Linked DNA regions of Macaca mulatta. The protein of the gene in region 2 purifies or fractionates together with the protein of the main gene of each other region. This does not show direct contact. Links are inferred from orthologs where the notes say so. Each region holds a gene or a part of one and is shown on either strand. Other genes may lie near its edges. The genes, in order: CSNK1A1 and FAM83D.

Evidence for each region.
Region 1: the proteins of FAM83D (region 2) and CSNK1A1 purify together in Homo sapiens (affinity purification with mass spectrometry; 8 studies listed by BioGRID and IntAct, counting the BioPlex papers as one, with this or other methods). This does not show direct contact. The link is inferred for Macaca mulatta from reciprocal best matches to the Homo sapiens genes FAM83D and CSNK1A1.

Annotation. Positions count from the first base shown.
Region 1 is NC_133411.1:158,512,717-158,517,204, forward strand, and holds the start of CSNK1A1 (casein kinase I), read right to left. Parts: upstream 2,870-4,488; 5' UTR 2,383-2,869; coding exon 2,260-2,382; intron 1,590-2,259; coding exon 1,483-1,589; intron 1-1,482.
Region 2 is NC_133415.1:91,796,738-91,801,202, reverse strand, and holds the start of FAM83D (protein FAM83D), read right to left. Parts: upstream 2,942-4,465; 5' UTR 2,902-2,941; coding exon 2,239-2,901; intron 1-2,238.

The DNA.
Region 1 (4,488 bases), on a different chromosome or scaffold from region 2:
GCCTGTAATCCCAGCACTTTGGGAGGCCGAGGCAGGTGGATCACCTGAGGTCAGGGGTTCGAGTACAGCCTGGCCAACATGGTGAAACTAAAATACAAAAATTAGCTGGGTGTGGTGGCGGGCGCCTGTAATCCCAGCTACTCAGGAGGCTGAGGCACTAGAATCGCTTGAACCCAGGAGGCAGAGGTTGCAGTGAGCCAAGATCGTGCCATTCACTGCACTCCAGCCTGATCGACAAGAGCGAAAACTCAGTCTCAAAAAAAAAAAAAAGAGTCTCCAGCAAACAGTAAACACCATTCTCACCTATTCTGAATATTTTTGCAAAAGGTATTTTAGATTGTTGCTGAAAAATAGCTTGGTTTTAAACTATATTTTAGTCTCCATTCCATGAAGAGGCTCTTTAATCCCAAAAGTTAAAACATTACTCTAAAACCCTCCAAAGTAAAGTTAACCATTTGACAGAACAATGTCTTTCTATCTCGTCATCTTTTATCCTCGTTACTGCAATTTGCACTCACCAATATTCCACACCAACAAAGGCCGCAATTTCTCTGATATTAAGATTTACTGCCAAACTCAACAGGTTAAAATTACTTATCAAAGTGTGGCTAAGTGATTAAGATTTCTTTTAATACAATTGATTTGAGTAAATTTTAACATAGTTGGTGCTGCTCAAACTGCCTTTGCCATTACCTATACAAATTTAGTCCCGACTGAAATGTGCCAAATATGACCATTCACGAAAGGAAAGCGTAATTAACACTTTTAAAAGAACCACAAAGGATTTTACATAGTATAATTCAACAATTTCATGTCACATCTGCTGCAGAGATCACAAACATTGTCACTATGCCATCTCCTTCCTCGAACCCCCACACCGCCTCCTGCAGCTTTATTCTTGGCTTTTCAAAGGTTTAATCCACTCGGGGCTGCTAAAGGAGGAATCAAGGAAGCATAATTTGTGAACCCAAGCTGAGAAAAGGGCAGGAATATGGGGTTGAGTCACGTCGTTCCGCCATTTTCTAAGCGGAGGAGGAAGACATGTTGGAACAAAAACACAACAAAAGAGCAGCCATTTCCCAAGCCAGCTCCAATAGCAACTCGAACTGACACTGCCGGGTCGCTTCAGCACCTTCAAATCCACTTCACTGGACAAACCTAAGAACATCAGACGTGCCGCCGTAAAAAAGGCAGCAGCCAACCCTTCCGCGTAGGGATCAAAGATGACCCGCACGCCTAACTGCAAACGAAAGCCTCGGGAAGAGAATGACGGAAGCGAAATGGAGCAGTGTAATACAATGAAATAAGTTGGCAAATTGAAATTTACTCAGTGATTGCGATGACTTACAGGAAGGCACCAGCTACAAGGAACCCAGGTAACTAAAACAAGACCCGGATTCAGCTGGTCTCATTACCTGCCTCTACCCACTTCCCCATTCCGTGCTTCCCTCAGCGGATCGCCTACATGCACGGGGTTCTTACCGTATGTGGGGGATGCCAACCCCACCTTGAAGAATCTTATAGAGCTTGCTCTCGTACAGCAACTGGGGATGCCTGGCCTTCTGAGATTCTAGCTTCACTGCCACTTCCTGCAGGGGAAAGAGGGGATGATGGCATCAACATCCCTACGGATTCAGTGTCATTTAGGAAAGGAGAGAGACATTAGCAAAACTCCAAGTCGCGACTACAAGGAAGAAGTGAAAAGCTGGAAAGAGAAAGCTCTCTGTAATTATAAAACGAGGCAACCAGCCTCAAAGGCCTCTTCAGGGGGTAGTGACGAAATCGTACGTCCTCTAAAGTGCAGGAAAATGATTCATCCAGAAAAAAGAAGCAACCTCTGAACGTAGTGAGAGGTTTTTAAGGAACTAGGCAATCGGAAACTGTTCTAATTGGAACAAGAGGCCCAGTAGGATTAAAAATTAAATAAAAGAAAAGCAAAGCAAAGCATGGGAATCACAGAAAGAGGATTTTGCCGTTTCCACCTTAAAAGTCGGTTAAAAAAAAAACAGCTCGACGAAGGGACATTTATGGGACGTGTTTAACAAGCTGGGAAACTAGTTCCCCCAACCTTTCTATCGGGTTCTTGACCCTTTTAGGGAGAGAGCGGGCGAGGATCGCAAGCCAGGAAAACTAGCTCCCTGGACTCCCTGGCGAGTGCGTGCGGTGAGGAAAGGCCCGAGCACTTTGGGGGTGCGCGGTGGTGGTGGGGGGAATGAGGAAAAGCGCAGCGTTATCGTGAACCCCACCCCAGGTGATTACCTCGCCGTTGGTGATGTTGATCGCCAGATAGATGTCCCCGAAGGAGCCAGACCCGATCTTCCGTACCAGTTTATATTTCCCTCCGACAATGAATTCGGCCTTAGAGCCGCTGCTACTCGCCATCCTGAGAGACGAAGATGGAGTCTGGGGCCAAGCCCCGACACCTCTGGGAAGACGACGGAGGCCTCTGGGGCTCCTACACTGGGCAAGGCTACGGAGGAAGGCGGCAGGAAACAGAACACGGAGGCCTTTACCGGCGTTCGGGGCCCAGAATCAGCCGAGCGGAACCTGATCACCGCCGCTCGGTCAGGTTTCTTTTTGCCAGGCCGCAGTTTGTGAAGGGCTTCTCGCGGTTACCAGGCTGGGCCACTTGTTTCTCGGCGGCCGCCGCTGCCTCGCTTGCGCGGCGACGTCGCGGGCTGGAAAAGGGGCGCGGTGAGCTAGGGCGGCGATACAGCTACCACCACTGCCGCCGGCTCCGGCCCTGAGGGACCCCTGTCACTCCGCCGACGCCGCCATCTTGTTACTCCAGCTCCAGCCAACACAAAATGCCCCCAGTCCCCGGGAGCCGCTTCTTCACGGCGCAGAGCACTCTGGGAAAGGGATCTGGGGCGCTCGCTCCGAAGGATCGGCAGCGAGAGGGCGGAACCGGATCCGTGAGAGTCGCGGCCCACGCTCCGAGCGTCACCCTGTCACCGCCCAGTAGCGCATGAGCGCTGCAACTCCTGCTGACTGCGCAGGCGTGCCGCGGCCTGCCTCACCCCGCCCCGGGCTTTCTTCCACTTCCGGTCGGCGGCGGCTCAGCTGGTGTTACCTGTTACTCGCCTCGGACCCGCAGGGTCTCTGGAAGGCTGAGTGGCCCCAGGCCTCGATGTTGGGAGGAGTCACCTTCATGTTTCGTGTCAGGCCTCCTTAGGAGTTGGGTATTGACCTTTGCTCTTTGAGGCGGTTTTTAACCTTTGATCTTTCTTCTGGCCGCTCCCCAGGACCGGCCTATTCCAACCCAGTTTCTGTTTGGAAAGAGGCTATCGCCTCTGGTGGAGAGGAAGAGAAAAGCAGCCCGCGTTGAGGAATCGTTCAGGGCTCTCGGTTATAGCAAAACCTAGCTAATTACCCTTCATAATTAGAATTTTCTTCTCTACTACGGAGTGTTATAGACCCTCTTTCCACAGGAGGGGAAAAAAGAAAGAAGCCGGAATCCCCCTGCCGTCCTACGTCTTTGCATTATTGCCTCACTACCACTTTTGATCTTCAGAAGAAAACCCAGTATCTTGTTCATAGTGAAGATTAGGGATAGATGGAATCAACAGAAAATTAATTTAACAAGAGTGAAAAAACTGTTATGCCCCCCAACCCCACCAAAACAACAACAAAGAATCGTATGTTGGTCATGTTGAAAACCGCAGTATTAACCTGAACAGAGTAGAGGTAACTATTACAAAATTTAATTGACAACATTTAAAGCTACACGGAAATTTTTTTCTTTTTTACTAAAAATCGATCAGAGAATCAAATCTTGACCACATTTTGTATTACAAAATTTGACCTGGGAAAATTGGGTTGAGTAATAGTAATGTTCACAAAAGAAAGCTCCATGGTTTATGCTATCATCTTAAGTCAGACCTCAGTCGTAAACATTTAAGCTAAGCCTATCCTAAATAAAATTTAATTAAAATAGAAATGAGGGCCGGGCGCAGTGGCTCACGCCTGTAATCCCACCACTTTGGGAGGCCGGGGCGGGCAGATGACTTGAGGTCAGTTGTTCGAGACCAGCCTGGCCAACATGGCGAAACCCCGTATCTACTAAAAATACAAAAATTAGCTGGGTGTGATGACGTACACTTGTAACCCCAGCTACTCGGAAGCGGAGGTTGCGGTGAGACTAGATCACGCTACTGCACTCCAGCCTGGGCAACAGAGAGACCCTCTCTCAAAAAAATAATTAATTAAATAGAAATGAGAGAAAAATGTGAAGAATTTTAACTGCACCTTTGAAAGGTGATCAAGTAATTAAGGTTAGTAATAGGGTTCATCTCGGAAGATAACTGAAGAGAGAGGGGAAGAGACTTCCCCTAAAGTTTAGCATGAAGTTTTAAGGCACAACCAACACCCAGGGTGCCCAACTCCCAAATCACCACTATTAGACATCGTTCGCCTTTGGTGACTCTAAAGCATGTTTTGACTAAGTTAAAATCTGCTGTTAAATTCTGGTCTAAAACGCAGCCGGGT
Region 2 (4,465 bases):
CAAGACGGAGTCGTGCTCTGTCGCCCAGAGCTGGAGTCCAATGGCGCAATCTCGGCTCACTGCAACCTCCACCTCCCAGGTTCAAGCAATTCTCCTGCCTCAGCCTCCCGAGTAACTAGGATTATAGGTGCGTGCCACCACGCCCTGCTAATTTTTGTATTTTTAGTAGAGATGGGGTTTCACCATGTTGGCCAGACTGGTCTCGAACTGCTGACCTCGTGATCCGTCCACCTCAGCCTCCCCAAGTGCTGGGATTACAGGCTTGACCACCGTATCCAGCCAATACTCATCGGATTTAAAGGTAACTTTCTCAGTTTAAACTGCCCACGTTCCAAATATAGCATCTCAGAGGGAACTGTGGGTAGCTAGACTAGGGCAGCAGGTTCTATCTGGAAATGTCAGTATTACAAAACGCCCATGGGATGAGGGAGAGTCTGAGCTCCCGGCTCCATCCCCTCCTCAGGCCAGCACGTGAGTTTAATTTCCCTCTGGCCTCTGGTTCCAGTGCCCCTTTGCTATCACTAAAATTTTGAGATGGGCAAAAGACTAGAACAATCCACAGCTCTCACTATATAGACCAGTTCTTTACATTTTTCAGGTTCCAAGTGCTCAAGTTCTACTGGAGGTGAGCTTTGGGAACGCATACCTACACAAGTCTGCCTTTTCCATCTTTTTAATCTTCTCACTGAACCCGCAAGGAAAATGTCTACTGCATCAAAAAACCCTCAGCCCACCTAAAGCACCTCAGGGCTGGTAAAAGCCTAGCTGCAGCCCACAACCACTCCCTCAAAAGCAAGGCACTAGGTCACTGTATCCACTACCACTGCAACCCCACCATTCAGGGAAAGAATATTAAGAACATTGGTGAGAATTGGGGCTTGGACTTGGACATGTCAACCTGACAATGCACTGGTATCTTCACCCACAGTCAGACACACTCATGTACCAGCCCTCGCAAGTCTTACCATGGCTGGGGCTTTATCTGCCATGTCCCTGGCACAGGCAGACAGCCAGGAAGCCGGGCACTGCCAGTCAGCAAGCAACCTGACCATGGTTCCAGACCAAGGTGTCTGCCACCATACTGTTCTGCCACACCCACATGCAGGCTGCCTTCTTCCTCCTTGATCCCCAACACCCTGCTGCAGCTTCATTGAGGCTGGCAAGCAGACAAGACCTCCACTGCGCCCATGACCATGCCATACTGAGTCAGACAGTAGGACCAAAACAGAAGCCGATCTAATGCAAATGTATCTGCATTTTAGGAGACCACTGCAATCTGGCACAGACCCAGCCTATGGAAAACTCCTTGCCCCTTTCATTCACAACGGCAAATTTCCCCTCCAGTCTCTGGCAGTAGAAAAAGCGGCAGGGGGCCGGGCGCAGTGGCTCACGCCTTAATCCTAGCACTTTGGGAGGCCGAGGAGGGTGGATCACCTGAGGTCAGGAGTTCGAGACCAGCTTGGCCAACATGGCGAAACCCTGTCTCTACTAAAAATACAAAAACTAGCCGGGAGTGGTGGCAGGCGCCTGTAATCCGAGCTACTTGGGAGGCTGAGGCAGGAGAATCACTTGAACCCGGGGACGGAGGTTGCGGTGAACTGAGTTCCCACCACTTCACTCCAGCCTGGGCAAAAGAGTGAGACTCTGTCTCAAAGAAAAAAAAAAAAAAAAGACAAGAAAGAAAAAGCGGCAGGGGTCTCACTTTGCCACTTGTGTTTATCTGCTTTTTACAACATAAGATGCGTGAAAGTAATTAGCAATAATAATTGATTCCTAATGCCCCGTAGTTGTCTCTGGAGACCACCTTCCTGGAACTTTCCCTAGGTAAGTTCTTTGGTAATGAGTCTCCTAAGAAGCTCCTGAAAGTGGGATGTAGCGTTGGCTGACAGCCAGGGAAATCGGCAATTTTCCAAGTTTGATTTCAACTGAAATTTGGAGCTGGGAGTACTTCTGGTCCCTCCTTCAGGGATATGAACGTTAGGAGATGGAACCCGGACACAATTCTTATCCTTGGGAACCGAGGCTTCCCCACTATCCCCTGCCACCAGGAGCGGCCCGGGGGATCCGGGGAAGACACGCAGAGTGGGGTGTGAGTCGGGGACCCCGGGACCCCGTGGCCCGCGCTTCCGGTAGGGAGCTGAGGAGGTAGTCGCCCCGGCCTGTGCTCCCCGCAGGCCTCAATTTCCCATTCTTGAAGGGGGTCTCCCGTGCGACCCAGAGCCCGGGAGGGCCGCTCACCTCTCGCGCCGAGCGGAGCTGCTGGCGCAGAGCGTCCTTGCAGCCGTAGGGGCCGCCCTCGCCCGTGCCGCGGGGCTGGAAGTGGGCCTCGACGCGCGTGGCGCCGCGGTAGGCGCCCTGGTAGAAGGCGGGCCAGCCGAGCTCCAGCAGCGGCGGCTCCAGGTCCGACTGCTCGGGGAAGTAGGTGCCAGACGAGCAGTCATGCGAGGAGCCGAACGAGTCCTCGGCCGCCGCCGCCGCGCCCTCCTCTCCTGGCCTCTCCGCCGCGCGCAGGATGGCGTGCACCTCATCGGGGTTCAGGAAGCGAGCCAGGCGCTCGCGTCGCAGGAAGGCCGCGAAGGCTTCGGGGCCGCCGGCCACCAGCTCCTCCAGAGCCAGGCGCCGTGACTCGCTGAACAGCTCGGCCGGGTTGGGCGGCCCGCACGGAGACAGGCAGGCAGCCGGCAGTTCGTCCAGGCCCTCGCACAGCAGAGCCATAGCGGCACTCGGACGCGACAGCCCTCGGACAAGAACCAGCCTGCAGGCCCACTTTATAGGCAACCTTTGAATCAAACAGGCCCGCGCCATTGGCCGCACCTCCCCGCCTCGACTCTCCCATTGGCTGCATTCCTTCCAATAGCGGAGCGAGGCGGGGCGCAAGCCTCTACGGTTCCGCCCCCTCATGCGTTATTGGCTGCGATGCTGGGGTTGCTAAGCCGAATTTAAACTTGCAGGGGCGAGGCGGGCCGCAGAGCAGGGACAGAGCGGGGAGAGCCGGGCTCCTGGCCATCCCAGGGCGCCCCCTGCCGGCCGCCCCCCAGTGCGGCCCTACAAGGCCAGGGACAGTCAGGCCTAGGCAGTGAGGAGAGGCAGGTGCCGGCTCCCAGACACGTTGGCCACGCTGCTCCTAGGCTCTCAGAGCTTTGGTATGGCCAAACATATCGTCTTTATCCCCTGCCTTTAACCACGTATTCATTCATTAAAAAAATACCGGCTCATCATATTAGGACCGCTCCTTTGCTTACACCCTCGGGTAGTCTTCTCTCATTTCATCAGTTTTTGCCTTGTAAAACTCCAACCAACCCTGGTTGTATCCTACTTTGCACCTGCACCCCGGCAGCCCTACAGGGCTGGAGAAAAAAACAAAAAGAGCATAACCATGCTTACTGACTGGTCATGTTTTACATTCATAATCTGTAAGACTACCTGCTAGGAGGCCGGGCGCGCAGTGGCTCACGCCTGTAGTCCCAGCATTTTAGGAGGCCTAGGAGGGCGGATCACCTGAAGTCAGGAGTTTGAGACCAGCCTGACCAACACGGTGAAACCCCGTCTCTACTAAAAATACGAAAATTAGCCGGGCATCTTGATGTACGCCTGTAATCCCAGATGCTCGGGAGGCTGAGGCAGGAGAATCACTTGAATGCGGGGAGAGGAGGTTGCAGTGAGTCCAGATCACACCACTGCACTCCAGCCTGGGCGACAAGAGCGAAACTCCATCAAAAACAAAACAAAACAAAACAAAACAAAAAAACTGCCTGGTAGGCCACATTTCCCTCATTCTCTCTACCTTTTCCTCTCTGACAGCTTGCCTCCTATGTCACCGAGAACACAGAAGCAGTGAGAAGGGAACGTCCACGTGCGCCCATCTAGTCTACCTTCCTGTCTCCATCGCTGCCCATATACTGGGCATTGATGAACTGCGCCTGTGCCCATCCAACCCCAACCCCTCTGCCTGGGCACTTCCAGCCCCTCTACTACTCACCAGCATCACTCCAGCAACCTTCTTCTTTCTCCTGGAACATCAGCTTCCCTCTTTACTGATTCATTTCTATCAACCTACACGCATGCTGAAATATTTTTCGTCTTAAAACAACCCTCTTTTGACTCTACATTCCTCTAAAGCTCCCCATCTCTCTTCTTACTTTTGCAGCATAAAATCTCAGATGTGGCTGGCCATGGTGACTTGCACCTGTAATCCCAGCACTGTGGGAGGCCAAGGGAAGAGGATCACTTGAGCCCAGGAGTTTGAGACCAGCCTGGGCAACATAGTGAGATCCTGTCTCTACAAAAAAATACAAAAGTCAGCTGGGCATGGTGGTGCGCCTAACTCTTAGTGCATGGCAGTGCTCCTGTTGGTCCCAGCCACTGGGAAGGCTGAGGCAAGGGATCAGTTAAGCCCAGGAGTTTGAGGCTGTAGTGAATTATGATCACACCACTGCACTCCAGCCTGGGTGACAGAGTAAGACCC